Struthio camelus: one gene and its partner. The protein of the gene in region 1 interacts with the protein of each later gene in a pairwise test. Links are inferred from orthologs where the notes say so. Each region holds a gene or a part of one and is shown in the gene's direction. Other genes may lie near its edges. The genes, in order: EDC3 and ANXA10.

Region 1 (15,235 bases):
CACGCTGGCAAAGCTCTGCGGGGGAAGAAATCTCTGCTGCGTCCTGCAGCAAAGCTGCTGCTCACCCACTCGCCTGGAAAGGAGGCGCGAAGAAGGCTTGGTTTGCTGGCAGCTCCCTGGCATTATTTTTCCTACTTACCCTGTGGGTCTGTGCACCAAGACGCTGGAGCAATATGAGGTGGCAAGATTAGGTGGCAAGGGATAGACTGGAGCAGACCCTGGTGTCAGCAGCCTGCTGTCCCCACCAGACCGTGCTGCCTGGGACCAGGCACCCTTTCTCTGTGATTGTTGGGCGCCTCTGTCTCTTCACTGTCCATCTAACGTTAAGGCAAGCTGGACTTGCCTATTGGCTTTGTGGTAAAGCCTCAAACCCATCCTCAGGGTTTGGGCTGAGTTCTCGAGCCATCTGGAAGGGTGAATGGAGCAGACCAAAGCCCTTCTCCAGGTGGTGTGGCTGGATGGAGCTGGAAGGGGATGGAGCCGCAGCTGGTGCTCAGCATGGCTGCTTGGAGCAAGAGCTCCGGCCGGTCTCGCCCGCGAGCAGGAAGCAGGCAGGTCTCGGTGCTCAGGCCTGCTTGCAGAATGCGACCTTGGGGACATACCCAAAGTCCTCAAGTTTCCCTCGGCCTCTGCGGAGCCCCCGTTCGGCCAGTCACCCGGGAAAGTCCCGACCATCTCCAGCGGCTCCTTGGCCCCAGCAGGACGGGCGGTGCAGGACACGGGGCACATAGGGACGGGGCGCGCAGGGGATGCGGGGTGCGCCGGGCCGGGCCGTGCTGCCGGCCAGCCCCGCCGCCCCGGGGAGGGGGGCTTTGCCCGGCGGGCGGCGAGCCGGCGGGGCGCGGGCGCTGGCCGCGGGGCCGGGCGCCTTTAAGAGCCTGCCGGTAGCGTGACTGCGAGTGGCCGGGGCGGCGCAGGTTGCCCAAACATCCCGGCCGCTTCGCACGCGATGCCCCTCGGCCCGCCCGGCGCCCCCCGGCCGCCGCCGCCCCGCTGCCCCCGGCGCGGGGGTGCCGGGGCGCCGGGGGCCGCCGCCTCCCGTGTCGCCTCCCCGCCCTGTTGTTTGCACGGCGAGAAGCGGGGAGCCCGAGCCAAGCGGCTTCTCACGCGAGCTGCCCCGATCTTTAACCCGGCGATGCCTCCCGCCGCCGCCCGACGTGCGGCTCCGGCCCCCCCCCCCCCCCCCCCGCCGCCGCCGCCCCCCGGGCCGCCCGGCCGCGCCGTCGGGGCCGCGGCGCTCCCTCCGCGGCGGCACCGGAGACCCCCGCGGGAGGAGGGTGCCCCTTCCCCCGGGGACAAGCTCGCAGCCCCCCGCCCCGGGCCGGGGGCGGCAGCCCGGGGGGCGCAGAGGCTGCGGACGGCGCTGTCCGTGTCCCCCCCCCCCCGCCGCGGGCTGCCCGGCGCCGGCCCTGCCCGCGCCCCTCGCGAGGTATCGGGGGGGGGGGGTCGGTCCAGGTTAATCATTTGGGAGTTTGGCCGCACGTCGGCTTTGATTAGGCTTCGGACACGTGACGGGAGGCTCCTGGGCCAATCAGGGCGAGAGGCGATGCATATAAAGCAGGCACGGAGGGCCGGCGGGGTACCTGCGGCAGGATCGGGCCCCTGCGCTCCCCTGGCTGCCTGGAGGGACGGCGGCTCTGCTCGCCCGAGAGGTGAGTACCGGTCCCGGGGACTGTCCCCCAGCTCCGGGACAGAGCCCTCCGCCTGGAGGGTGGGGAGGGGTCCAGGAGCTCTTCCTTGACAGCTTTCCCAGGGGACCCCCACAGGCTGGAAACCCGTGGGATGCCCTCTTTGGCGGTGGCCCCATAGTTTGCCAGACAGCTCACAGCATCCTTCCCTGAGCTGCCGGTTTCTGGAAGAGCCGGGGCCCCTGGAGGCTTACACTGGCGGATCCTTGCCCCAGGACCCTCTGCCCAGGGCTCACTGCCCCAGGCAGCTTGGCTCTGCAGACGTGGGCTAGGAGGGGGGTCCCGGCTCCAAGCTGGGCTGCCCCGTGGGGCTGGCTCTCCCTGCTCGAGCAGGGCTGAAATGCCCCTTCCCTAACTGAAACAGGGACCCTGGCAGCCCCATAGCGCTCCTTGCTACCAAAGGACCTGCTGCATTTGAAGCCAAGGTGATCCCATGGGACCCGGGTGCCCTGAGTCCCGGAGGGGAGCAGCACAGTGGGCTCTAGTGCCTTCAAACCAGGGGAAGGTGGGATGTCAGACCCAATCTTTTTCTACCTGTGGCTCAGGGTTTACCTGAGGGATTTCTGCCAGAGCTGGGAGCAGCGTGCCCCCCACCTACCAACCCCAAAGGGCAGTGCAGGGTCCTGCTCTTCCCTCTCCAGAAATGCGTTGACACATCAGAGCTGTTTAGACATCCCTGAACTGAACCCACTGGCTCTGGGGACATGCATTGGGAAAAGGTCTTTGCTCTTTCCAGCCCTTTTGGTTACCAGTGATGGAGCATTAGAGACCAGTGTCCCACTACAGCACTTGCTAGCTTTCTTGGTCATCTATCTTTTGTAAGAGTTGTGATAATCTAAACAAAACCCCTGCTTGCTTTGTTTAATTTGCTGGTAAGCGATGGCTCAGTGCAAGCAACCAGATGACTCAAACCAGGACAATTCAACTCTTCTATAGTCTCTTGAAAAGACTTTAGAGCAGGAAAGAGAATTTCTCTACTTAAAAGAGCACGTTTCTTATCCCTGGCATGCAGAGAAAAAGCCATATGACCTATTCCTTTCGCTCTTGGCTGCACTGCTTTTATTGTCCGCAAGTGCAAGCTGCACTAGTGCCTTTAGGAAGATACTTAAATCTGGCAGGCCAATCAGGAGAGGGTGACAAGGGAATATTGCTTCATCTTCTAATGACTTTTTGGTGAAGACAAATGCGAGACTGTTTTGATTTGGACATAAGTATCCTCTGCTCACGACGTAGGGGAATATTTCTCAGTGCTGAAGTATGCAGAGGTGCTGAAGCGCAGAAAAGCAATGCAGCAACTACAGATTGCCTGTGCGGTCCCTACTAAATAAGTGTCTCAAAACTGCAGATGCTTCCTAGACCTTCCTCCTCCAAAATATGTGTGTGGGTTTTTTTCTTTTTTGTTTTTTTTGATATTAAGGTTTCTAAACGCCAGTGGCAACGAAGGCTGCAATGTCGCTGGGGGGAAGCCAAGGCATTATCTCGGCCACCGAGATCCTCATTGTGGCTGCTGTCTTCTGCCTGGTCTTCCTGCTCATCCAGTCCTTCAGGCAGCACGTCCCCAAGGGGCTGAAGAGACCCCCAGGACCAAGAGGCTACCCCATCCTCGGCAACGTGCTGGAGCTGAGGAAGGACCCGCACCTGGCCCTGACCAAGCTGAGCCAGAAGTATGGGGACGTGATGGAGATCAGGATCGGCAGCCGGCCCGTGCTGGTGCTGAGCGGGCTCGACACCATCAAGCAAGCCCTGGTGAAGCAAGGAGAAGACTTCATGGGGCGCCCTGATCTCCACAGCTTCCAATACATTTCAAATGGCCAGAGCCTTACCTTCAGCCCAGACTCAGGGGAGGTGTGGAAAGCCCGCAGAAAGCTGGCCCAGAACGCCCTGAAGACCTTCTCCATCGCCCCCAGCCTGACCTCCTCTTCCACCTGCCTCCTGGAGGAGCACGTCTCCAAGGAGGCCGACTACCTGGTCACCAAGTTCCTGCAGGTGATGGAAGAGGAGAAGAGCTTTGACCCTTACCGGTACCTGGTGATCTCTGTGGCCAACGTCATCTGTGCCATGTGCTTTGGCAGGCGTTACGACCACAACGACCAAGAGCTGCTCAGCTTGGTAAACCTCAACAATGAGTTTGGAGAGGTTGCTGCTGCTGGCAACCCTACTGACTTCATCCCTGTGCTCCAGTATCTTCCCAGCCGTGCCATGAAAGCTTTTAAGGACCTCAACAGGCGATTCAGCTCTTTCGTGCAAAAAATCGTCCAGCAGCATTACACTAGCTTTGATAGGGTAAGAATTTGGAGATTGCTCTGGGCAACCTTTGCTTTGCTCCTCACTCTGTTGTTGCCTTTATCTTTCATAGCTTGGTTCCTTAAGACCATTGCAACAAGTCAGAGAGCATAAGTGAAGTTTTTACTCCACTTTTTGCCTAATGAAATGGAGCTTCTCTCGAAGAAGCTCAAAAAATCAAATCCAGTGCTGCTGTTTGCTGGAAGTGGCAAAGTGTTTGGAGATACTGATTTTCCTGTAGCTGGCACCGCTTTCTCTAACTCTTTTCAAAATGGCTCTCTTAATATATTACTGGCTCTTAGTCACCCAGAGTAATACAGCCTTGCTTACCTGGCAGGCCAAACAGCTGCTGCCTCTGTCACTGCCCCATCTGATCCTGCCTCTGTGGGCAGAGGTGCCTGCAAGTGTCACGGCTGCTGTCTGTCTGGCCCAGAAAGGGGGGAAGAGGATATTCCCGTGTCCACCCCCCTCACAGGGTGCACAGGAAAGCTCACGGGAGCTTGTGGGTCTGTAGCTGATCACCATCAGGAGCCCTGCATTGGCTGGGAGGAGAGGTTTTCCTCCAGCCCTTGATTTCTCTGGTCTAGCTGACTACTCTGGCTGTTCCCTCAGGAGCACATCCGGGACATCACGGACTCGCTGATCGAGCACTGCCAGGAGACTAAGGCAGGGGAGAACACCGGTGTCCCGCTCTCCAGCAAGCAGATCATCAATATTGTCAACGACCTCTTTGGGGCAGGTGAGAACGCATCTGTTGTTAAAGCCATGCTGCTGTCCCCGTCCCAGCTGCCCTCCTGATGTGGCAGCTGAAGAGCTGTAATCCGCTACTGCAGGCAGCCAAACACTTTCAGGTCCTTCAACAGCCTTATGGCCAGAAAGGCCTCAAAAGTCCTGAGACAAGCTTTGGAGAGAGCTGCTGTTTAGCCCTGGCAGTTGAGCTGAGGGTCACGGCAGAGGGTGGAGAGGGGAGCCGAAGCCGTCCAGGTGCACCTCTCACAGTGCTCGGTAGCCGGGGCTGAAGCTGGGCTCACAAATGCTCTTCTGACGGGTGACCAGAGCAGATGGCTTTCCAGAGATAGCTGATGGGGGAACAGCTCCAAGGCAAATATTAGCTGTGTGTCACTGGCCAAAAAATCTAGAATGGGATCTGTAAATGATGGGATCTGTAAATGTCCTCTGGCCTGTCTTCTCTAGGTAATTAAATGCCTTTCTTCTATGTCCATACAGGTTTTGACACTGTTACAACTGCCCTGTCCTGGAGTCTCATGTACCTTGCCTTGTACCCTGACATCCAGAAGAGGATCCAGGAAGAAATAGGTGAGTTCATGAGTCCGTTTCCTCCAGGGCTGAAATGTCTCTGCCAAAGGCTGATTCCAACCAGCTTCTTCCTCTCAACCACCCGCAGATCACACCATCGGCCAGGAGAGGCGACCGAGGCTGTCTGACCGAGGCACGCTGCCGCGCACAGAAGCCTTTATCCTGGAGATGTTCAGGCACTCTTCCTTCCTGCCCTTCACTATCCCGCACTGGTAAGCACTGTAACGACTGACGCGTTAACTTGTTTTTTGGAGCGGTTTTCTGGGAGGTGCTGTTTATGCTGATAATAGCCTGGGAATTGATCCCTGTTATTGTTGTAGACTACTTCCGTGAAGGCTGTGGGGAGATATTCTGATGCAAATCCTAAATTCCTTGGGTTAAACCTCCCCATGGCTTTGACAGTCACCGTCAGCGCAACTACTGAGTTGCATCGGTGCCTGCGGCTGCTTTCACTGCCCAATTTGAGGCCAGCAGCTGCCCTGCTTGTTGCTCACCTGGGGCTGAATCTCTTAGTATGAGGGCAATTTCGCTTCAGACCCTTCACTAGTGGTAGGACAGTGGGTCGTGACTAAATCACCTGGTTTCATATTTCCACCTGCCTTGGGAGAAACCATGTCATGATTCATTCAGCTTCGTGAAACTGGAATCTTTCCACTTGAGGAAAAGCATTAACCAAGAGTACTTATAATCTCCCAATTCAAATACAATTAAGGCAGGGTATTTCCTAGCGAGTCCTAAGAATAAATATAGGGTATTGAAAACAAAATACTTCTCTAGAACCTGCCTGCCTTTGTTTCACCCTAAAACTGCAGGTTTCCTCTCAATTTATCCTCCTGCACCCCTATTTCTTTCAGTACAACAAAAGACACCGTTTTGAATGGCTACTACATCCCAAAGGACTGCTGTGTATTTATCAACCAGTGGCAAGTGAATCATGATGAGTAAGTACGCCAAATCTCCCATTCTCATTCAGAGCGCAGTAGGTCTGCTTGGCATTGAGATCGCTCAGATCGGTCCTTTACAGCAACACGTCTAAAGCTGAACAGGTCATGAGAACAGGGATGAACAGGTCAGACCGAAAGCAGTGGGGATTTGATGCAGATGCCAGGGTGAGCTCTCCTGCGCGTGGAGGTGCTCTGGACTGCACAGACTGATTCAGTCGCCAGCTCAGCGACTCCCCGGCAGCCAGGGCTTTACTGACTTTTTGCACAGCAGCTTGGAGGCGTCCTCAGCGCGTTGGATTGACCCCGTGTGCGCGGTGGCTGTTTTCGAAGGGCTGGCAGCTTTGGCTGCTGAATAGTCAGGAATCGGTACATCTTCCTGCCAAGCTGACAGCTCTGTGTTCAGCAGAAACTGTCTGGTTCCCTCTTTCAGGCAGAAAAATGCCCTGTCAGAAGGGACTGCTGACGTGACCATCACTAACAGGGTCAATTCTCTTCTTGCATTAAGGACTCAATAGACTTGCGTCACCCTTTCTGATAATCAGCTTCTGTGAATGCAAAGGGCTCTGGAGCCCAAAGCCCTGTCTTACCTGTCCGCTGCACTACAGCAGAGGCGGCCTTGGAGGGAGTAAGTGACTGATGGCTGAAACAGGAGGTTGTTCCCCCACCAGTTATTTTAGCTGAGAAGCTCGAGACTCGGCCTCTGTGCAGCTGAGCTATTCTGATACAAAGAAGTATTCCTGCCGCTTCTGCACATGCCAGTGCACATTGCCCTCCTTTGCAGGGGGAACATGCTGTGTGGCAGAGGGAATTCCCTCTGTCTGCGAGCAGCAATCCTGCAGGCACCAGAACTGCAACTGGACAGATCATGAAGTTTTGCTAGAAAGGTTCAAGACGATAAACGGTCAGGTCTGAATCCTTCCTTTTTAGAAGGTGCTGGCAGGTTTCTGTGGTCTCCTTTCAGCTGAAACTGCAGGGCCTCTAGATATTGCATGCTAAACTAAATTCACCCCTGGTATCTGCATAGGCAAACACAATCTGAGTTTGAAATAGTCTGTTTCAATAGACTGAGCTGATAGGGGCTGACATGCAACTGGCATTTTAGATCACTGATAAAGGCCACCACCGAGTGCCAGAGTTTTTGGACAGCGAAATGAGAAAAGATTGCAATGCTTTTCTCTGCAAGGATTTGTTCTCCTGCTGTCCCTATTGTGGAGGGGGGAAACGGCTTTCTCAGTCACCTCTCCTTTTTGCTCCAGGAAGCTTTGGAAGGATCCTTCAACCTTCAACCCAGAGCGGTTCCTCAGCGCTGCCGGGACTAAAATAGACCGGAACGAGGCTGACAAAGTGATGACTTTTGGCCTGGGGAAGAGGCGATGCATCGGGGAGTCCATTGGCCGGTTGGAGGTCTTCCTTTTCCTGGCGACCTTGCTTCAGCAGCTGGAGTTCAGCCTCTGCGCCGGGGAGGAGGTGGACATCACTCCTCAGTACGGCCTGACAATGAAGTACAAGAAGTGCAAGCACTTCCAGATTAAGAAGCGCTTCCCGGTGAAGAGCTCTCCATAAGCTGCGGAGCCCTGGGAGGAAGTACCACTTTGCGAAATAAAGCCAGCCTTTTGAGCCAGACACTGGGACTGCTTTAGCTAACGCTCTCTAGAAGGAGCTGCTCCCCAGCCAGCACAGCCGGTCACTGGGCCGCCTCACTGGGGGCTCGTTCATCTCTCATGTAAATGCGAGCGAGCGCACAGGGACGGATAAAGACGGCCTTGTTGGGCTCAGTGCGCCTCGAGGAACGTGCTTGCTCCTCGCATCCCTGTTAGCCTGGAGGAGAGCAGAGCAGAGATTCGTCGGGCCGATTTCTCAGAACGTCTTTGCAACTTGCTTGCGAGAGGGCATGTCACACCTCCTTGTGAAGGGCCCTCTGGCATGTAAGGGCAGCACAGGCTTCTGCCCAGGTGAGCGGCAGCTGGGGCGTTGCTGGCTGGCTAAACCCACCCCTTGCCCATGAAGTATCTCAAGCGTAGCCATTTGGAGTGCACGGTCATACAGCTAAATGTCGTAAATATAAATTCATGAAATGCACCAACCCTTAGTGACAGTCTGACTACTAGCAAATATATATATATATATATATATATGTTATACACACACACATACATCTAGCTGTTCACAAATCTGAGATGTTATTAACTCAACTCTCAACAATAAGCCTCCTGGAAAAAAATCAAAAGAATGAGGAAAAAGGGACAAAAACCAACAAGGGAGACAGTAAAATGCTTCTTGCTTTTGGACTATGCATTGTTGCTATTTTAACTCCTCTTTTACTTATTTGCAAAAAAAAAAAAAGATTTATATATTCAGACTAATACAAAGAGTAGGGCTTTAAAGACGGCAGGAGCTACTCTGCCCTGCTTTTCAATCTGCTCAGCTCGTGTGAGGACAAATTATAACGGCAAATGGAACAGCAGTTCCTGCCCGTTTGTGCCTTTTTTTTTTTTTTCCCTGCGATCTGTATGGGATGCATCTGTATGCCGAAATGTTATCTGCATTGCACAATGTTTCTAACCAATAAATACTAACGGGCAAGTTTCTTGCTTGGTTCTTGCTGGTCTTATTCTCCTGGGGAAAGATCTGGGGGGGGGGGGGGGAAATGTTCACACCTCTTGTCTTTTCCATCCTCAAGTCTGACTTAGATACCCTCGTACCTAGATTTTTCCATTCTGGGAATTAACTGGCCGTCCGCAGATGGCAGGCGCTGTCGCCCCCGTTTCCCACGGGGGCTTTGCTGTGGGGTCCGACCCTCTCTCTGCGCCTAGAGGAGAGAGTTGCGCTAGACCTCAGCTGACCGCCGCGGCAGCCAGCAGGTAACGCCGGGCGCCTGCTCCAATTCCGGCTTTCGCTAAAAACCGGGACTAGCCCCAGGGCGATGGTCTGGTCCCCCTGGGAAAAACTGAGTCAGGTAGCTTAAAAATTGCCTTTCACGCGGCAGCATCTCTGCTTTAGTTAGTAGGTTTGAGACTGAGCTTTGCCGGGGCGGGAAGCAGCGGGCTGAGGGACGCTTCTGGCTGGCGCTTCCCCCTCTCCGCGGACTATGGTTTCCGAGGCTTTGCATCAACTTCCCTTCCGAAACAGGCAGATCACTTGAGCGACTGGGCACAGAGCGGGCGCTGCGCCTCGACGGTGGCGAGAGCGGGGCGGAGACGGGGCGAGGCGGCGGCGGGGGGGGCGCCCATGGGTGACGGAGGCAGGACGTGAGGCGTGACACGGTGGCGCAGGCGTGACCGGGGCCGCGCGCCCACCGTGGCGGCGGAGAGGTGGCAGCAGCGAAAGGCCGTGACGGAGGCCGCGCCACCGCAGCGGTGGAGGTGCGACGGGCCGGACGGGGTGTGGCGGAGGGCGCGTGCCGGCAGTGATGCGGGGTGGCGGAGGCGGTGGGGGACGCGCGAGGGCGGCGAGGCAGGGGCGGCGGAGGCGTGAGCGAGGCCGCCGCCGCCCGCTCGCCCGCCCGCCCGCGCCTGCCGGTGCTCGGCGCTGCACGGCCGCCGCCGCCGCGCATGCGCGCAGAGCGCAGCCCCCTCGCCTCCCCCCGCGACGGCGGGAGCGCGCTGCAGTACTGCGCATGCGTCGCGCCTGTGCTCCGCCGCGCCTCTCTATGGTCGCCCGTCGGCGGCTTGAGCGACGCTTCGAGGCCCGGCGCGGGGCAGGAAGTGACGGCAGACGTCGGGCGTCGGCGAGGCGGAAGGGCGGTGGGTGAGGCGGGGAGCGAGCGGCGGCGGCGGCGCAGGTGAGGCGGTGGCGCCCCGCTCCCTCCGCTGCCGCGGGCAGGGCTGGCGGGGCCGGGAGCGCGGGCCGGGCCTCGCCGGGGCCCCCGGTGCGGGGCTCGGCGGCGCCGGCGCTCCCGGGCGGCGCGGCCGTAAGGCGGAGCCGTCCGCGGCCTGCCGGGGGCGGCGGGGGGCAGGCCCCGGCCTCCGCAGGGCTTCCCCTCCCCGGCGTCCAGGCCTCAGCCGGCCTCCCCTTCCCGGCGTGGGAAGCGATCCCGCGGCAGCTCTTCCCGCGGGTGCAGAGAGGATAGGCCTGGTGGCCCCTGCCTTCCCCCACGAGCTGCTCCCCCTTCTTCCCCTGCTCCCCTGCTAGGTACAGAGGGGGCACAGGCTTGGCAGCTCCTTTTTTTCTAGCGCAGGTGTGCTTGGTGTGCGGGGGCGCCGATTCTTCGTGCGCTCAGTCACTTCCGAAGCGTCTTTGCTTTCCCCAGCGCGCTACACATATGTTTGAGTAGACCATGAGGCTGTTGACTTCCCTTCAAAACTTGCAAAAGCGTCAAAGGTGTCTCTAGTTTACATTTGAAATTAGAGGTGTGTAAGAACATATATCTGTGCCGGTGGTAGCAGCAAATCTTAGAATATAATTTTGGCAGGAAGTCTGACTTTCCAGGTGTATGTAAACAAACGTGTTTGCATGTGTCTCGTGTGGCTAAGTAATCGTTCACTGCCTGTGTAGTTCTTTCGCTTTTCTAAATGGTTTGCATATAAAGTAGCTACAGAGTGAGATCCTTTTGAGATTAGGAGTTTCACTGATTTGGTTTATGTCTGCCCCCAAACATACCCTCTTTCTGAAAAGAGACTATCTTAATTTTTTAAAAATTATCCCTTTAAAGTGCTGATGTATGTTGAACTTTTTCCTTGTTTCCCAAACAAGATATAAAAAGCAGGAAAGAGAATGAAATATGCATTTTAACACAGATACTCTGAAATGCATTATCTGTGTTTTAGAAGTTTTTTTTTAAATCAGCCGTCAACTTGGAACCCAGACGTGTTGTTGTGGGTCAATATAAAGACACAAAAACAGGAAAGAGGAGGCCATTGCTAAAGAGCTCATGATCTTAGAGACCAAATCTAGCGTTTGTTTCTCTTTCGAGCAGCCCCTGGTTTTAGTCTTTCAAAAAAGGGGGAAGGAGGATGGGAAGTGAGTTTGTTCTAGTAACATCCATGTATGGTAGCTATTTCCAGTCTCTTTTGCATCTTTTTCCAAGAAGCTCTGGACATGAAGAGCTTCCAGAGAATTAAAATGATTTCTACAGAAAGGTGTTTTATGTATTGATGTTAATCTGTTCCCCCCCCCCACCCCACTCTTATCTTGAGCTCTGTATTGTGTTACCTTATTTATTTATTTATTTCTCCAACTTGTGTTTCTGCTGATGAATTCCAGCCTGTAGCCTTGCTCTTCTGAGAAAAGCAGCAAGTTGTTTCTGGATTATCTCCTCCTCTTTCTGTCTTTCTGCTCTTTACAGCATGTCCCACAAACTGAGCAAGTTATCATCAGTTCAGGAAGGAGATTAAGAAATTCAGAGTTGAGGCAGGGAAATGACAGTAAAAGTAGTGAATGATCTTCTGTTACAGCTATGAAGTCAAAGTGGATTTTTTCTTCTGATCGAGTGTTCTCCTTCTCACTGTTGATTACAGCATAAAAGACATTTTATATATATATGTGTGTGTGTGTGTATGTATGTATGTGTGTGTGTGTGTATGTATATACACCCAGACACAGAGTAGTCATTTTCCTCTATGAGCTTTTCAGCTTTTTCATGCTACTGTGATGCTAGCGAGAGCCTGTCACTTTCCTATGTGCCTTGTTTGGAGGAAGTAATATCAGATCAAAAGATGTGCTTAGCTGCTTCAGTGTGTGTTGATTGAAATACAGTTTCAGTCAGGCATCAAAACTGCAAGAGATTTATAGGTCTGAATATCTAACTACACAGTGTGTGGTGGTGTGGTTTTCTTTTTTTTCCTCCCTATATACTTGCAAGACTAAATGCAATTACTGGAAAACAATGCTATTTATTTATTTATTTCAGTAGTACCAATACTATCTGGAGATCATGGAGACTCTTGTCATGGACTGAAGAGGCTCCCCCCCCTCCCTCCCCCAAGTATCTTTCTATTCTCTTAAAAGTGTTGATTTTAAGCTGTGTTTGCAGACATCGGTCTTCTCGCTGCCAAGTCCTCACAAATGCAATTCTTCTCCAGTATTCAAAGGCCAAAACTTTAAAATGGGAGGGGAAGATAAAATTAACCGTTTGAAGCTTCTGGGAGAATGCATGCAGACAGATCTAAATACTTGATCTGGTACTTAAGCAAATGATATTGCTGTTAGAAGTTTTTAGTCTTGAAATCAGTTACAAAATTATTTCCTCCAATTTTTTTAAAAAAATACAACGTTATAGGAAACTCGCCAGGGTGATACAAGCATTAGCTATCGTTTGTATTGCAACAGAGCTATGGGTGTTGCAAACAAATGTATAAGCAAAGTGCTGTCCAGGGATTTACACATTTGTTGTGAGTGTTGGTAGCTGTATAGATGTTATTTCCACCTCACAAACAAGAGAGAAGCTGACCGAGCTGGAGCCTGGGTGGGAGCCAGCGTTTGGGGCCGGGAGGGCGCAGTTGATGCTGATTCAGGTTGTCAGTTTCTGCATCTTTTACAGCCAGGCCTGTGTCTCTTCACTTTACAGCAATTGTGTGCCAGAAATATGGCTACAGACTGGCTTGGAAGCATTGTGTCAATTAATTGTGGAGAAAGCTTGGGAGTCTACCAAGGACGGGTGTCTGCTGTGGATCAGGTCAGCCAGACCATTTCTCTGACACGGCCCTTCCATAATGGGGTCAAGTGCCTCGTGCCAGAAGTCACCTTCAGGTTAGTGTCTTTTTTCTGTTTTCCAGACAAGGCCTTTTTTTTTTTTTTTCCTTTTTTGTTTCTTTTTCTTTCTACTCACCCTAGAACTGGGCTCTTTGCCTTAAATTTTATTACTACTAATGAGCGTCTTTGGATGAAGAGTGCCTCTAATGTTTTCATGAATTTGTATGCAGAAGACTGTTATTTTCTGGCTCTGTGCTCACAGTGTTAGAACTGGTATAGCTCACAGCTGGAGGATGTTTGTGGCTGAAGCTATGTGTATGTATGTATCATGTAGGTGTACATGTTCTCTGTTGAGTTTTCATATGGTTGAGAGAATTGGCATATTCTCTTAAAGGTTCTTCCTCAGAATATGTAATGTACGTTTTCAAAACGTGTTAGAAGAGAAGGCAGATCAGTTAAAGTTATTGGCCCAAATGCAATTACATTTGATTAAATGCAATCATTAAGTCCATCTCGTGTCTTCTACCACACTCTCGTCTCCTTGTAGGCAGCGTTTCTGTCTACTAAAAACTATTGCCGTTGGTTGGGTAATCTTGCTGTGTAAGGCTGGCTGCTAATTGGTGTAGAAAACTATTGGAAAGGTTTGGAGCTAAGAAGCTGAATTCAATGTAGCAGTACTGTAGTAGTTCTGAGTTCCCTCCCACCAGCTCCTGGTGACATCGTGTTTGAAAGAAAAATAAGAGATTAGTCACAGGATATTTTCCTGTTACCTGTGCAATTTGCTTGCTACAGTGAGACTTAACGATACTGTATTTTTAAATAAGGTTAAATACAGATTTACGATACTGTATTTTTAAATAAGGTTAAATACAGATTTCAGAATATCACCTTTTCCTCGAACTAGGATTTTGAAGAGATTTTTGAATGGGAGAGGAAGAAGGCCATATTATTCCAGGAAACGTGTGGAAGTCTGTGTCAAGTCCTTGCTACTTCTCATGCTGTTAATTTTATACCCTAGCTGAACCAATGCTTATCAGGTCTAAAATAGAAGACCATAACTTCCAATTTATTTCTTGCAGTCTGTGCAAATGAAGGTGTTCGTGATCACTTCTTTGTTTCATTTTGGTTTGTAACCAGTACTACTTTAGTTTCCCCTTCTGAGGAAATTGGAAGCGCCATCCCTGGCTGAGCATGAATTGCACCAATTTAAGAATTGCTTTCTGTAGAAATGGATTACAAGAAGCTGTAGCCTGAAGGCTGAGATTAATTATATTATCTGGAAACTGCTATATTAAGGCAGATTTCTGCAAAGATCTGTGCGAGTTGTTCACATCTGCTTCACTGATTCCTGTTTCAGCTGGGAACAGTACCCAGAACAAAAACAGGGTGCAGTAAAGAAATACTTGAGTCCTTATTCTGAAGATTCAAATCACTTCAGTTGAATATTTTGTCTGTGGGATGTGTCCTGTAAGTCTGTGTATCAAATCCATTTTTTTTTTCTTGTTTCTGTTGATATTGGCATCAGAAAAAATATTGTAGAATATTGCGTGTGTTCCTCTAGGGTGGGTTGGTTTGTTTGTTTTAATAAAAGTAGCCTGAACGCTGAATTCCAGAATGTCTGGTTCTCTTTTCCTGTTTTTAGGGCAGGTGACATTACTGAGCTAAAAATTCTGGAGATCCCAGGGCCGGGGGACAATAGACAATGTGGGGATCTGCAGCAGACGGAAATGGACATCCCTGGTGTTGGATGCCAAGTGGGTCCCAGTCAGAATGGCACTGGAAAAGTGTTAAAGAAGCCCATCTCCAGCAGTGCCCCACAGAATATTCCAAGGAGAACAGACATGAAGAGTCAGGATGTTATCATCTCTCCACAGCAGCAGTGCTCCAAGAGTTACATGGATCGGCATGTGGAAACACTGACTCAGTCCAAAGGCTTCCGTCGTAGACACAATTCATGTAAGTATATGTGCTGTCCTGCAACTTTCCTTTTCCCATACCTGAGTTACTACTGCAATGTCCACTCTTCTTCAGCAAGAACATTTCGCACAGTGCTTTGTTTGTTTGCTTTTGTACTTTTATTGCCCTCTAAAGGTCTGGAGAAGAGAAATCGAATGGTGGCGATAAAGACATCAAAAGCTGTTCCACAAAGTAGTATAAGTATAGGTCTTGCAACTGCCTTGCACTTATCTTAAGTTCTTTTATGATTTGATGATGGTGTAATCTCATCTGCGATTCGGTATGAATGTTCACACGGTTTCAGTAACGTTTGCAGGACTGAGTTTGTAAAGAAGTATATGTACTTGCACAGAATAACCTTAGAGGTGTGAAATGTTCTTACGGGCTAAGGTCAGGTGATGGGGGTTGTTTGACTTC
Region 2 (15,026 bases), on another chromosome or scaffold:
CACCTCAGTTTATAAATCAATTAATCTCTAATATCAATTATCGGTTGCCACAGCAATAACTGAGATTCAGGAAGTATGCATTTTGCTCCTTTGGCATAGCCAATATGCTTCTCAGATAGAGGCACAGCAGAAAGAGTTAAATATCTGTAGGAAGACAATACTCTGGTCAGATATTTATCGCACTGGCATTTACACATTGCCATTAAAGTTACATGTTAACACTTAATTATGTTTGACTGCCTCCTTTTCCTTCTCTTAAAGTAAATAGTTGGAAAATTTTTTTGTAAGAAAAAATTTGTTCCATGCTAGTCAGATGGACAGTTTTTGAAATAATGTGATTTTCCTTGAGGTATTAGTTTAGCCACTGACATTTTTAAAATATTTTTATTGCATTCAACCCAAATCTATATTTAAGGTGTGAAACATTAAAAAGCACCCAGGACAATTCAAACACTACCATCCCAATTTTGTTACAGGTTCTGCTGAAACACTCTTATACAGCTTTAATAAGTTTGTAATGAAAAGTTCTTGCCTAGAAGTGTAGGGTTATTTTCCATTTAACTGCAAAGCTTTGAGTATGTAAACGTAGCGCCTTTCATAACACATTTGTTAATAATATAATGTGTGTGAAATAAATTTTTATCCTAATGCTTCCTCAAGATTCAGAAAACGGTTACAGGAATTTCACAGACAGACTTGTCAGCAGAAGTGAGGTCCAAAGAGCAAGAAATCTTTCTTAAAAATGGATTCACATGAACTCCTTGCATTCCCACATACAAACTGGTAGAATTAGTTTTAATGGCCTTAAAGCATCCAAGTTCCTCATCCACAAACATTGGAACTGTGCCATGAAACAAGAACAGCTCTATAATAGGGAAGGAGAACACTATCAAATTAGAAAAACGCAGCAACGATACATCTAAATAACATCTTAGAATGATATATTCTTCCATGGTAAGAAGCTAAAGCATGTTTATGAGAAGAATATACTCCAGTCAGCTCCCCAAATCAAGTGATCAGAACCTCAGGAAGCCCAAGGACACATATCTCTATCCTAGGGCTCAGCCAAAACCTAAACAGGTTAAAAATTAAAGAGGTATTAAAAAAAGCTGTAAACTGATGCATTTACAGTGGCAAAAAGATTCTACTTTATAAGATAAAAATCACAAAGGAATCCCCATATTCATCTGACTAAAAACAAAATCACTATTCAAAAACTTTAAAATTGCAAAAACAATGGCAATCATTATATATAAATATACATGTATAAAATATATCTCCATGCTCACTCCCTCTTGCCTAACAGTAGAATAAGTGAGGTTTGCAGATCTGAAAGAAGTAGACAGAAGAAACAATTGTTCCCTCAAATATTCTTCTTTTTTTATGAGGCTTAGCGGGGTCTCTCATATTACCAGAATCACAATCCAAAATACATGGACTGTCAATAATCTTTTCATCACACTTGAAAAGCTGACCCAAAAAATATAAGAATCATTGGCTATAAGCATCGTTTCCTAACATTGTTACAAACATAAGCCAGTTCAAGCTTAGTGACTTTGAGCTGTATTCAACATCACCTCCGAAAGCTCTTTAATTGCTTTTCCTAGATATGAACTATTTCTGAAGTGTGTGAAATTTCTTTAAATCATTCTTCTCCATTAATTTTAGCATTTTTTCTTAAATCAGAAACATCTGCTTTTGATCTGCTATAAAATTGTTCTTTCTTTTTTAGACAAAGTATGCTGGAAATCACCCAGATCCTCTCTTGTTTTACAGCTCATAAAAACTTAAAGTCTGTTACCAGTTCTTTAATTTTCCCTCAGTTTTCAATGGTTATTCCTGCAAGACATGCCTTAGATAACTACAAAAAAATCTGCTGCTGATGAAAGTGTCTATTTAAAACAAAAATCATCAAGCTTTCTGAAACTGAACTTTCAAATTAGGCCATAAATTTTAGAGCTCCATTCAACAAAAGAGTTTAGTCACCTGGTTATGCTTTTAGGCAGATGAGCCTATGTGACACTGATTTTTTAAAATTCTTGTCATATGCTCCCTGAACATAGCTTGGTCCAAAAATCTCTTAAATTCTTACTTTTTTTGCAAACATTCACATGCACAACTAGTCTTGTGCCAAACGTACGAATATGCTGGGTGCCTAAATCAGAGGAGGCATTCTCCTACCTATCTTAGTCGTGCTAGCATTTCCTGAGCATTCTCATCAGTTGTGCTTCCCAGCAAACAAACTGCGGGTGATGGTAAAAGCCACAGTAGCCAAATTAGGCCACTCCCCATAGGCAACACTGATTTTTTTTTTTGATACCATTCTTTGAGGGTCTGATTTTTCCTGAAACATGTAAGAAGTTGCAGTACTCTGGTCAAGGGACATCAGGTTTAAAATTAGACCTTACTATATGTAGTCCTGCAGTATAGATCTGTATACATCTGCACACTCCATGGATCTCAATCATGTCTAAAACACAAGACTCATTGTCAGATCCAGCTCCCATAAAGAGGCCAGCATCCTTATTCCCAATGCCCTAATGGAACAGGAATAAAGAAAGTTTTGGTCCTTCTAGTTCCACCTAGCTTAAATAAGCAGGAAATTCAAGCATGTGAGTGAAAAGGGAGAGGAAGAGCAATGTCTTTTAAATACATTCCAAATACTGACAATCAGGGGACCTGGACCATCAACAACGCTACAGAGGATATCTGCCCCATATAATAAATATTGCCTAAGAATCTACTAGTGCAATCCCAAGCTCCTTCCAAATAAAGCTAGACTTTAGCATGTCACTTGAAATTCAAAGAGCAGATGAACAGAATTGTAAGTTTAACAGTGATACAAGCTTGTTGGCCTTGTATACGTATTAACATGGCAGCTTAGAAGAGGATAGATCAATTGGACCTGTATTTTCAACAGCCCACAAACTGCTGAGATGCTGTGGGCAGACATAGTATGAATTTCACTGATGAAATTCAGTGACAAGTTTCAGGCATTAAAGAGAACTTGCTAACATAAGCAATACCCACTAGAGTCACTACAACAGCGTATCTGATTATCTCACTGCAATACTTGCAGTAAGAGTAACGATTATACAGCTGAGCCCGAAATCTGTGCGTTCATAACAAGAAACATGAGTTCACTACAGCATTACGTCAGCTCCACTTTTGCACAAGAACCAAAGCGCCCACTTTTTGTTGCCGCTAGAGAGACGTAACTAAAACCTGCCATCCCCAGAACTAGCAGCAGAAGCACCGCACAAACCATGAGCGCCGACAACGAGCAGCGGCCCGAGCGACGGCCGCCCGCCAACGGCCGCCCGCCAACGGCCCTCCCTTCGCGGCACCGCAGCGGCCAACGGAGGTGCCCCTCCAGGCCAGCCGCTGCAGGCGGGCGCACGCTGCCCTCACTCCGCCTCTTCCCGCGAGGCTCTGAGCCGGCCCCAGCGCCGTTCCCGTGACTCGCAGGCGCCCTCCACACCGCCCGCGGCTCCCACCCTCCACCCCCGGCAACTTCGAGCCCGCCCGCCGCATCACTAACCTCATAAGCAGCGCTGTCGTCGCTGCCGCGCCGCGCCACGGTCGCAGCGAGCAGAGGCCGCACGCTGGCCCCTGTCGCTGCCGAGTGAGGCTTCCGCCTGTTCGCTCGCTCGCTCGCTCCTCGCCTAACTCCGAGGCCGCCACCACCTGCGCGTCAACCCCGCGCAGGCGCTCCCCGCCCCACGTGAGGCCCTGGCCCCGCCCCCGGCTGCCGCCTCGGGAGAGCGGGAGACGCCCTGGCGGCGCGCGGCCTCGCGGTCTGGGAAGTGGAAGTGGGAGGTAGGTAGGTACGTACGTACGTACTCAGAGGTGTTAAAGGGAGCAGTTTGGTCTCTCTTCTTGCTTTCTGTAATGTACAACGTCATATTTGGAAGGGAAGGTGTCTGTACTAACGGTGACGCTGGTAATTTTGAGGGTTAGAGTTTTGTTTTTTTTTTTTTAAGTGTCATAAGCGTGTAGGTGTTCTGTTTTGGGCAGCTAGTGTGCAGACTGTCATAGCTTACTATTTTTGGCTGAAGTAGAATCCTAGGTAATTGCTGTTTTGCAATAGTAATTGTGTTATACTACCTAAGAGGACTCTGAAAGAGCTAGGACAGTTCTAGGAATGTAAAAAGAGCGCTGCAAGCCTAGCATAGTTCACTGGTGACATAGAGGACTGAGAACTACTGCTCTCTAGGCCCAAGACTTTTCATTTTCTGCTGCAGACAAACCACCAGAAAGTACAAGTATGAAGTATATTGATGGGATAGTGAAGAAGGTCTTCATTGCAGAATTTTACATTCACTAAATAATAATGTGCCTGCTGTTCCTAGAAACTATGCCCATAATACCTTTCACTATCCAATGTCCCATTCAAACCCTATTCTGTTCTTTAAATGCCTTCTCTTTCATGTGATTAGCCTTCTAGCACTGCATACATTCCACCATTTAAAAGCTTTCCTTTTCGCAGTCTGATCATGGAGTTACTTAAAAAAATTTCAAACAACTCTAAATAGGAAGCATATAGAAGTAGATTATGCAATATGATCTTGCATTGTGGTATTCTTGTTCTTTCCAGTCTGCTACCACGGTTTTTTGTTTTCCTTTCCTTCTTATTTTTTATTTTAATTAGCAACTTGAAATCAAAACAGGGGTTACTGCTATGAAAGATATTCAAATTTATGCAAGGTGGGTTTTTTGTGATAATGGCTGCAAGATGGTAAGCCATCACGCCACATGCTCCCGCATGTTCATCCAGAAAGGCAAAAAGCAGCTGGCTGTAGCCCTTCCAAGGCACAGTTTGCCAGTTCTAAAGTCATCCGAGTACGTGCTATGGCCTCCTGTGTACACATACTGTGCTCAGAGCCCTTCTCAGAAACAGGGCAGAACTTGACCCAGGCAACCGTAAGAGCAATTCACAGGCAAATAAGTGCCCAGAGTTTCTTCTGTAATATAAATACAGACTTGAGAGTTGTCAAAGTTATTTTTGACTCATACATCCTCCAGTGAGTCATTGTGTTAAGGTTCTTACTACCGTATCCTTCCTTTTATCATGATGAATAAGTTTTTACGCTTGCTTATAAGCTCCTCCAGAGAGTGTAAGTTCTCTTCGGTTTTCTGAAGACACTGCAGAACAATAGCTGGAGCTTATTTTACCAATAATGTGAATTTTGTTTGTAATTAATGTGTGACTGATATGCTAGATTCTTGTTTTTAGGAAAATGAATAGACTAATTTGATACTAAATCATTTTTTATTTCTCACTTGAATTAAATCATTCTTTCTTCAAAGTATATGGATTTCTAATTAGAAATTAATTATGGCTAGTTATTTTTATTCAAGGTTTCCATTAGTACAATATTGAAATTATCAGTTGCAATGCCTAAGCCTAAACAGTTCATAGAGTAGAACAGGGAGAAGTTTGAAAAAGAACCTTTAGCACTGGTGAGAAATGCCACCAGCAGGAAGGACTTCAAGAAGAGGGACTGACCCCTTCTTACTCTTACAGAAAAGAAGCAAGCCTCTCCAAAGAAGAAAAACAGGTAACAAACTGAGAGAGGAGAAAATTAAACAGGAACAAAAATGGGAAATTCTAAACAAAAAGAGAGCAAGTAACCAGGTGTCCAAATCAGTAATAAAATTCTCACCCTGTTATTAGGTGAGAATTGATTAAAAAATTAAACAGAGGGAGAAACAGAAAAAGAGAATGCTGAGCCTCTCACTTTTTATCCAGTCCACCATGAAATCAGGACAAATTATTTTTTTTTTAATTCCTCTTGCAAAAGCTTTTACTTACTTGAACTGTTCACACATCTTTTACTTTTCTGTCTTTAGTCTAAACAAACCAGTTCTTTCTGTCTTTCTGAGTTATTATTTCTGCTCTCTTCTATGCTCTCTCCAGCTAGTCCATGTTGTCTTAAGGTGAGATGGCCAAAATGACTTGTAATGCAATTCTCCGGTGTTCCCCCCCACAAAAAACAGGATAAGCTCCTACCCTAGAAATGATTCACACCTCTGAGCTGCTGCGTCTTGAAAAAAATATAAAAGTGAGATTAGGTTCAGCATGTTCACTCTGGAACACAAACAACGGATTAGTTTTGCTAAGCATTACATGGAGAAATGTATGTTGCATTTCCCTGTTGAAAACCTTGCCTCTTGCCTTAGAGTGGGGTGGAAGGCAAGGACAGCCAAGGGACCTTCACAAGGAGGAAGGAGTTGAAATGTCCTCTTCTGTTGAACGTTTTGTCTCAAGACTCTGTCTGTCATGGCTTTTCCCAGAAAGATTCATTAAAACCAGAATTTAGTTCAGTAATCGGCTAAATGCTTTCCTCATGTTCAATGGCCAGGAATTAGCACAGAATCGTGAATTTTCCTCTACTAACTTAGGCCCTGTGGTCCCTAACCACTAAAGGTTTTGACACGAGCAGACTAAAACATTGTAAGCCTGTAAATTTAATCCATTTTGGGTTGTACTGAAGATTAACTGTATTGCATTTTAATTACTTATCCCAGCAAGAAATGTATGTGAAACGAGAGTCTGCGAAAGAGAGGCTTAAAATGTTCTCATATTCTTATCACTGTTTAAAACTATTAATTATCAGGAGTCTACATCCCACCCTAGCTTCTGTTGCCATCTTCACCACCTTGTATGTGCCGTCTTCCAGCTGGCCAGGTCCGATTCTTTACAGATCATTTTGCTTAGCTGTAAAATGGGCTATGTTCCCCAGCCATCCTCACAGAGCACTTGAAATACAGAGGTGTAAAGCAAGTACTCAGTATGATTATATAGAAAAAGATGATCTGCCATAGCCCTCAGGAAAAAGGAAAAAACAAAGATATGGCAGTCTGAAGCCCATTAAGATTTTCATGTTTCACAAGCATACAGTCTATGAAACTCTTCCAACTGTCTATAAGGACAGACATGTAATCTCTATAGATAATAAACACTGACATGCAGAAGTTTATATTAAAATCAGTACTGCAGAGCTCCTACAAACCCAGAGATGGTTCTTAATGATTAGACAAGTTGCTAAGATATTGAGGCTATGAAAGAAATCTTTTTTTTTCTTCTTTCCAAAGTCTTCCTAAATTGTAATAAGAAACCTCCGACTTTTAATAAGCGCTACAAAGCATGTGATGGATATAGTAATAAAAGCAATAAAATTAGAAGTCTAAAACTCCTGTCCAACTATTTCAGTAAAATAAACTCTCTATACTGACACCCCATCAGGATAGCGGTAGCCCATGTCTTCCGTTCATGTTGTACTAGATACAGACTGTTTCTGTATGTCTATTTTAAATTCCTCTTTTTGAGGAAACTGTGTTTTCTCTTTTCTTTAATATGGTAGTAGATATCATTAATAGAAAAAAAAAAAAACAAGGTAGCAGCTATAAAAATGTGAATTTTGCTCTCAGTCTCTACAACCATTCTGCATAATTCTAATAGAACAATGTTACAGTATTTTTGCTCATCTCTTCACAGAGTCTTATAAGGTTTAATTTGTCTGAAAACATCAAGGGAGGGCCTCATCTGTACAGTTCCACTGAGACTCCAAAGATCTGTCCTCGTTACTCCAGGTAGCATATGAGGGCTATACAGCGTATTTCTATTCATGCCAGGTGGAAATATTTTATAGAGTAAGTGATGACCTGAGTGATTCAGCAGAAGGAAAAAAGGAACTAGACCACAGCTAATGCTGAAAGTAAATCATTAACACAAGTAGTTTCTGTAGGTTAACATTTCATTCTGTGACTGGCTGAATTCTGATTCTTAAAATCAACACAGCAGAACAGAGGGTGTTGTGCTATTGACTCTGTTTACTTACGTAATAATCCTACTTATTCACATATGATTAATGACTAAGTATACAGTGCATCCGTAGAACCTGAGGACGTGCAGTACCAGGCGCTGTTCCTGCTTCATTGTTACCTTGGAGCCTAGCATACTTGATATCAGCTTGATTGGATGGTTTCTCTCAGTTCTTTAAAATAGAATTCAAGTTGACTATAACAATCTTAGTTTACTGAACTGTTAGCTTTATTCTAGGAAAGTTGCTATTTTGATCTCACCGGAACTTGGAGACTTGTATCAAAATGTATTGTGGAGACTATGTGAGTATAATAATCTGTTCTCTGCAATCTTTCAAAATTCTTTTCTGCTCTTGGGTTGCCACACATGTTGGGAGCCATTTTCTTCTACCGGTAGAAATTAGTTTACCTCTGATGAAGTTAATTTACTTGTTGTTTATGTCTAATTCTGGGATTATTGCAGTATATACAAAGTATCTGAAATGAAGAATAAAATGTACAGAATTAACAGTTCTAGTCTCATAATTTTAGGCCTTTCAAGACAAAAAAAAGATCTTTTACCTGTTTTTGAGTTTCCTGCACTTCCATGTAGCTGTAACACAGACACAAAATTGTATACCATCACCAAATGGTATTAAAAATAAAAATATGAGTTGTTCAGATGATACTGATGCATGCTGCTGTTTTGGTGGTTATAAATTTTTACAGTGCACATTTTGTGTAATTACATGAAGTAACTATATAATTTCATCATTCATAAGCATTTCTTTTTGCTGGCAATGCATTACATTCTAAAAGTGACAGATATTTTAAAGTTAAAAAAAAAAATGCTTCCTCTATAAGGGCCATAACTCAGGGGAAGCTATCAATTATTGTTCCTAGCTAATATTTTATAGCAGTTGAGTGAATGATTCCTTCCTCGTCAAGAAAATAAATGTTCATACTGCAATTTTAACTCCTTATTCTAAAAGTTACTATAGTTATTTTTTCTGACAATAAAAGAGGAAATTGCTTTCTGCGCCTGGCAAACAAATAATTATGTTCTTAGGGTCATTCTTGTTCTTTTAATTATTATTAATAGGAGTAATGATTTATTCTTCTTGTATGCTTTCTGCATGTGCATTCCCAATTAATTTACGGCTCAATGCAGAATTTTCTAAAGGATGAGCATTTTTTTGTTTACTTACTTTATTTGAAGGCATAATTGCAGTAATCATTCTAATCTCACCAGTGAAGTATTTGTTCCTAGAAAACTATGTTGCATATATTTATTTTTCAGAGAAATAGGTATTGAATCGGTTTTAATAATGTGTTTAGTTTTGATGTAAGATTTGGCATCTTGCATTGCTTACTAGACCTGAGCCCAGTTAAGAAATGAAAAGGGATTTTTTTTTCTTCTTTTGCTGTTTTTTAATCATTTAATTACTATGTTATCGATATATTTCTGATAACTAAAGCAAGGCAGGAAGAATTAGCTTGCCTGATAAAGCTGGTAGATTTTAATTACTATATTATTAGCATATTTCTTATATATACTAAGTTATTAATTACATTGTTATTAATGTATTTAATTACTAAATTAAAGTAGTTCAATTACTAAAGCGAGGCAGGAAATCCAGCAGATAAAAGCTAGTAGATTCATTTCATTTTGAGAAATTAGGGAGTTCAGTTTCATTTCTTCAACTGATTTATCAAGACTAATTTTATTTAAATAATTGATACTGCATCTGTATATGATATATTACCTGGTATTAATGTTAGTACATTATAACATAGTTTGTAGAAGAAATAATATCACTTTTATGTCATTAAAATTGGTAGATCTATTTGTAAGACAATAATATTACGATGGTTTGATAGTATTATGAAAAAAATCTAATAGATTACATGTTTATGCTTAACTGTGGAAGATATTTACATTAGTATTTTAGCCTTGCTTTAATGTAGTCACTGTGTGTTAGTCAGCCCTAAGGACCTCTTTACCGGAGAAGGAACTGACGTTCCTAACTTTGATCCTCTGAACTACACCAGAGTAAATGGTGTGAATATCATCTTTCCATTCCTTGCACTTCTAAATATGCAAGGACCTACTGGTTAACCCTTTAATTATCAATCGCAGAAGTAAAAGAGTAGCCAGACAAGTGTAGACAATGGGGTGCAGCTTAATCTCAAGAAAGACATCGACATCTGACTACAGGCTTTAGCTGAAAAAGTACGGTGAGGTTCTCAGGTTAAGTAAATTGTTATTCTTTATTTCCTTTTTCTCCATGACTTGTGGGATGAGAAGGGAGAGAAGGCATGAAATAGTTCAGCGGTTCCTAACGAGTGAAGCAGACTTGCCCACAGAGGTATCAACACAGAACGGGGAGATGTCGTGCAAAGCCCAAGCAGACATGCCCCTCCCGATGTCCGCAGGTTCCTCAAGATTGAGTAGGTCATGGAACAATGGATATTTTCTCAGATGAGTCTCAGCAACAAAACAGCTGGAAATCACTGATCTAGAGCATTAGCAAATCGCAAGCAAAGAAAAAGCAGGGCTTACACAGAGACAGAGTGATGAGGCTGAGTCACGCTGACATCTTGTCTGCTCTCCTTACGCACAGCCTCAGATTGAGAACTGAGTTTAAAAGCACAGTGTAGCTCCAAATAAATTTTCAGGAAATCACAGTATATTAATATAACGTTGGTTTAGAAGCATAAAGAAACATAAAAAAGGAAATAAAGTGTTGCTTTCAAAATTATTAATTGATTCTTTAAGATGATCTTCTTTATATTTGATATTATACATACATACTAGTTTTTGCATATGCCACATATGAATGACTGGATGGGAGGTTACCTTGACTGGAATCCACAAAGATTAGGAATGAGGTGTAGAAAAAAATCACTGCAGCAGTTCTGCCAGATTCAGCAGCATAGTGTGGCTGAATCGTACAGAAAATGGCTCAGCACAGTACATGCAGAGGTGAAGCTACCAGAAATTCGATCAGACCTCCATGTCCTTTCTAAAATACATATTCAGAGAAAGATGGCAGCTTTTGGAGGAAAAGAATGAATGTGTTGTGTTTAAAAGTATCCCTTTCATTACTGTATCGTATATTTTTCGAAGGAAGTGTACCATCTGTAACTTTCACAGTAAGTCAAAATGAATTGTGGCATTTTTTATTAAATGATAAAGTTGCACGGAAAAGATATCTCTGTAAAAAGCACAACTAACTCATAGCATAATTAGCCTTTAGAGCAGGCATTTTATTTTAGTAGATATTCCCTCTTGGAAACATTCAGACTAAGGAATCTGACTTTGATTGTTTGTTATCAGCAGAATGACTTACTGAGCAAATATTACTGGAAGGTTGTTCACACTTTAGATTGCTTTTTCCGTCACAAGACTGAATCGTCTGAACTTTACACATTATAATTTGATAAAAGCAGCCTAAGCTTTTACTGATACTTTTGTTGAACTGCTTGCAGCTTTGGTCAGTGGTAGGAAAAGCTACAACTTCCTTGCTCTTGTGCAGAAGTACTGTGCAAGTATTATTTTTCAGATTTACTACAAATTTTACAGTCCTTTTCCAATCTCTGTCTTTCTTTTGATTCATTCAGCTAACACCGTGCAAACGTGTTCAGTTTTCACATCTACTTTGGAATCAGTTTCTTTTAAAAGAGTTAAATGCCTGTGTGCAAGCAAACACAGTTATGTAGGTATAAAGTGTCCAGCTGGACCATCTCTGTGGAATTACATCTGTGTTCTTGTAGATGAAGGTATCTTGACATCAGAAAGAAGACTGGGTGTTAAAATCATTGAATCCCCCTCTGGGGACTTACTTGCTTTAGGTACTTGGATACTTTATGTGAAAAAGCAAGATATCCCTGATTTTCTTCCTTCTGGATAATAGATATGCTTTTCTTTAAGATACCGCAGAAGAAAGATGGTATGAAAAGCATTTCTCCGTGTTCTTGTTTAGCATCTGGTCTCAGCTAACCCAAAAAATGACCAAATTGCTTTCAGAAATAACCAGAACTTTGCTCATCTGCTCCCTGAAGGCATTTTCTTTCTAAGGCAGAAAGCCAAGCCGTGCTGAATGCTATCTTTCTAAAGAGTGCTCTAGGAAAATGGTCTACATGGACTATTAGAACCTGGATATCAAAATTAAACCGGTATTTTATATTACAGGGTTCTTTGTACTCTTTCAGTGGAGCATACCAGGCGTTTTCCCTCTGGTTTATTCAGAAATTGAGGCTTTATTTCTTTACATTTGCCCATCCTTCTGTCCCTACCAGTAACTTTGAACTTGTTAATTAATTTCTGTCGAACTAACAGAGGAATGGCAGTCTGTTCCAAGTTTTGTGAAAACCAGCTGCTCAATGGAGGTGAGAGATCCAAATTGTTCTTCCACTTAGAAAAATACAGCAGTTAAGTTTAAACTTTGAGTTTAAACTGATTTACTTTATTGGCATAGCATTAGCCAAGCAGTACCTGCATAGTATGGACTAAACCACAGGGCAAGCCATCTTTTACCTATCCAGTGGTAGACTTGGTAAGCACCTGACAGATTGTGAATGTAGGTGGAGAATCAAGGAGAGAAAATTAACTGATGTTTTGGTAGGAGGAATTTAGTAGGCATATAGAGTCAAAAGAATCTGTAAGAAAACAGTTGTTACTAGTTTCAGTGCTTTCAGAACAGCTTGTTAAGTTACAAAAACATATTGCAAAACAGGCACCAAACTAATATCCACAACATTTGTGTTCTTGCATCCAGACTGAATAACCAAATGTGACTTTGTTCAGCCTAAACCAATAAATGAGACCTTTGTGTGCACCTGTGACAGTGAATATTTTTGAACGCAGACAACTTGAAGGTACAGCTCAGTAAATTAAAGTGTCCTTACTGCTGTGTGTAACGCACGTGTCTGAATATGTGCACAGAAAAATATGGGCCATATCCACAGAAAAATGGCTGAGCTGTGACATGGTTCATTATGACAACGGTGGGAACATGCAGTGTATTAGTAATGAGGATACCTGAAGCATATCTGGGTGAAAGAAGAGTTAGGACCTGACCAAAGTTATATCATCAACTTGTGCAAAACAAAGTTTTACCAACTTTGGCAGAATTATGCACTGTTACACCGACTGAGGATCTTGCCCATATTTCTTCCATATGCTTTATAGATCACTACTTCCTTAAAGCAAGGTTTGGTTGTTTTTTGGTGGCTGGTTTTTTTTTTTTTTTTTTCAGAAGGACTATATTTAACCATGAAAGAGCTGAATAATGAGCTGTCTACACTGACATTGATCTGGTTCCAGGTGCTTGCAAGTTCAGTCCTGCATTCAGTTTCAATATATGTTAATGTCCCTTTGGGAAGGTGTAGTTGCATTCAGATATTGGAGAAATAATAAACACCTTAGTTATAGGATCTTCCCTCGATTATTATAAATACAAGCTATTTAGAGGAGGAATATTTTTTGTGTGATTGATTTATGATTGGTGAAGATAAACCACCTTGCTGTAGCTCCCATCCGTAAATTGTAATTAGGCACACTTAATGTCCACAGGCAATAACTTTCACTTCTGGGCAAGTATCACAGTCTGTCACTGCTAAGAGTCTAATCTCTCAGACTCCACGCTCCTTATACCTTTGCTGATCTGCCTTTCAGAAAATGAAAATGCATAAATGAATTACTCCTGAAATTCAGTCGTCATATTTTGATAACGCGCGCAATTCTTTACCACCGTAACAACCCAAATAATCACAATATGTACAGCAGAAAACAGATGATCTGTGATAGAAGTGTCAGGTCTGTGCCTGATCCTGCAAAAGGTGTAGCGCTGTTGTCAAAGTATATAACTGGAATTGGTGTGCACCTCACAGGACTGACCCCCAGAGTGTTATACAGGTTTCTTTATTACTCTGTCCCACGTCACTGAGCCAGTGGGTGCTTAATTTGCTTACTTATTTTTAAAATACTCTTGGAATAGTTTCTGTTAATTTTTGGCTTTGGAGAAAACTTGTCATGGAATCGTTCTGATTGGAAGGGATACTAGGGGGTCATCTAGCCCAGCCTCCTAATCAGATCAGGGTCAACACTGATTTCAGACCAAGTCAGTCAGAGGTTTGTGCAGTCTGGCCCTGAAAACCAAGGACAGAGATCCCACGCCTCTTCAGGCAACTCGTTCCACTGGTCATTTACCCTCATATTTAAAAAAAAAAAAAGAAAAAGAAAGAAGTTTCTCCCCTGTTTTAGTTTATGCAGACTGCCTCTATTTCTCCTGCCGTGCACCTCAGTAGAGAGCCTGGATCCATGTTCTCGATGTCTTCCCCATAGGAACTGGGTGACTGCTGTTGGGTCCCCCCCTTGAAGCTGGGCTGAGTCCCTTACCTTCACCTCACAGGACAACTGCCCCAGCCTCTGAGTATCTTGGTGACTTCGCTGAATTTGCTTCAGTTTATCCATAAGCTATCCTCACTTTCCTCAGCAAGGTGTCAAACAGTCTGTGCCTGGCAGTTTTGCGCACTAAGGCCAGGATCCAAAGCTCCCTGAAGTCAACAGAAGGAGCTCCACTAACAATAGCCATGAGATTTGGATAAAGTCCTAGTGCTAAAAATGTTAAGTGATCCAGAAATGTCCCTGTTCTTCTTAACTTTCAGAATCATAGTTGTGTTTTACTTCTGGGGGTAGGTTAGAGAACCATTTAATTTAGAGAAAACAAATTTAGTGCAAGTACCTCCGAATTTTCCTCTGACATCACCAAGACAACCACAACACAGCTTTCACTGTTGCAGTTTTAGCTTTGCCATGAAATGCAATTTTTGCACATGGCAAGTAGCAACATAATGTTGGTGTGGGCATGAGTCTTAAATCTTTTTTGTTCCCATGTTTAGCTATCTTTCTGATTTTAACAATTTTCTCTTTCACTACCTATGTAAGTTAGTTATTTTGTGCTCCAGTGAACCTCCGAATCACTTTTATTTGAAAAAAGCAGACACAGAGCATACTCAGTTTTTAGTCTGGAGAGGTAATACTACCTTAAACTATACGAATAAGTATACAGTGGCTGCTGATAAATAGCGACTTAGAATGGAACTTTCCTACAGAGGAAAACTTTCACATTTGTTAAAGCCAGGGTCGGAGGAAGCACTATGGTCCAGGCCTGCCGTCCTTTGAGAGCAGGAAGAAGTCTTTCATTCTTTAATGT

What was found.
Region 2: the proteins of EDC3 (region 1) and ANXA10 interact in binary tests that used the Homo sapiens proteins (3 or more experiments, as listed by UniProt). The link is inferred for Struthio camelus from reciprocal best matches to the Homo sapiens genes EDC3 and ANXA10.

Annotation. Positions count from the first base shown.
Region 1 is NC_090953.1:23,448,944-23,464,178, forward strand, and holds the start of EDC3 (enhancer of mRNA-decapping protein 3), read left to right. Parts: upstream 1-9,458; 5' UTR 9,459-9,594; intron 9,595-9,855; exon of another isoform or gene 9,856-10,013; intron 10,014-10,414; exon of another isoform or gene 10,415-10,581; intron 10,582-12,737; 5' UTR 12,738-12,755; coding exon 12,756-12,919; intron 12,920-14,504; coding exon 14,505-14,818; intron 14,819-15,235. Other genes in the region: CYP1A1 (cytochrome P450 1A1), read left to right, coding at 3,138-3,971, 4,584-4,710, 5,199-5,288, 5,377-5,500, 6,143-6,229, 7,489-7,795. UniProt on the Homo sapiens protein: Binds single-stranded RNA. Involved in the process of mRNA degradation and in the positive regulation of mRNA decapping. May play a role in spermiogenesis and oogenesis.
Region 2 is NC_090945.1:44,488,890-44,503,915, forward strand, and holds the start of ANXA10 (annexin A10), read left to right. Parts: upstream 1-7,784; 5' UTR 7,785-8,112; coding exon 8,113-8,130; intron 8,131-15,026.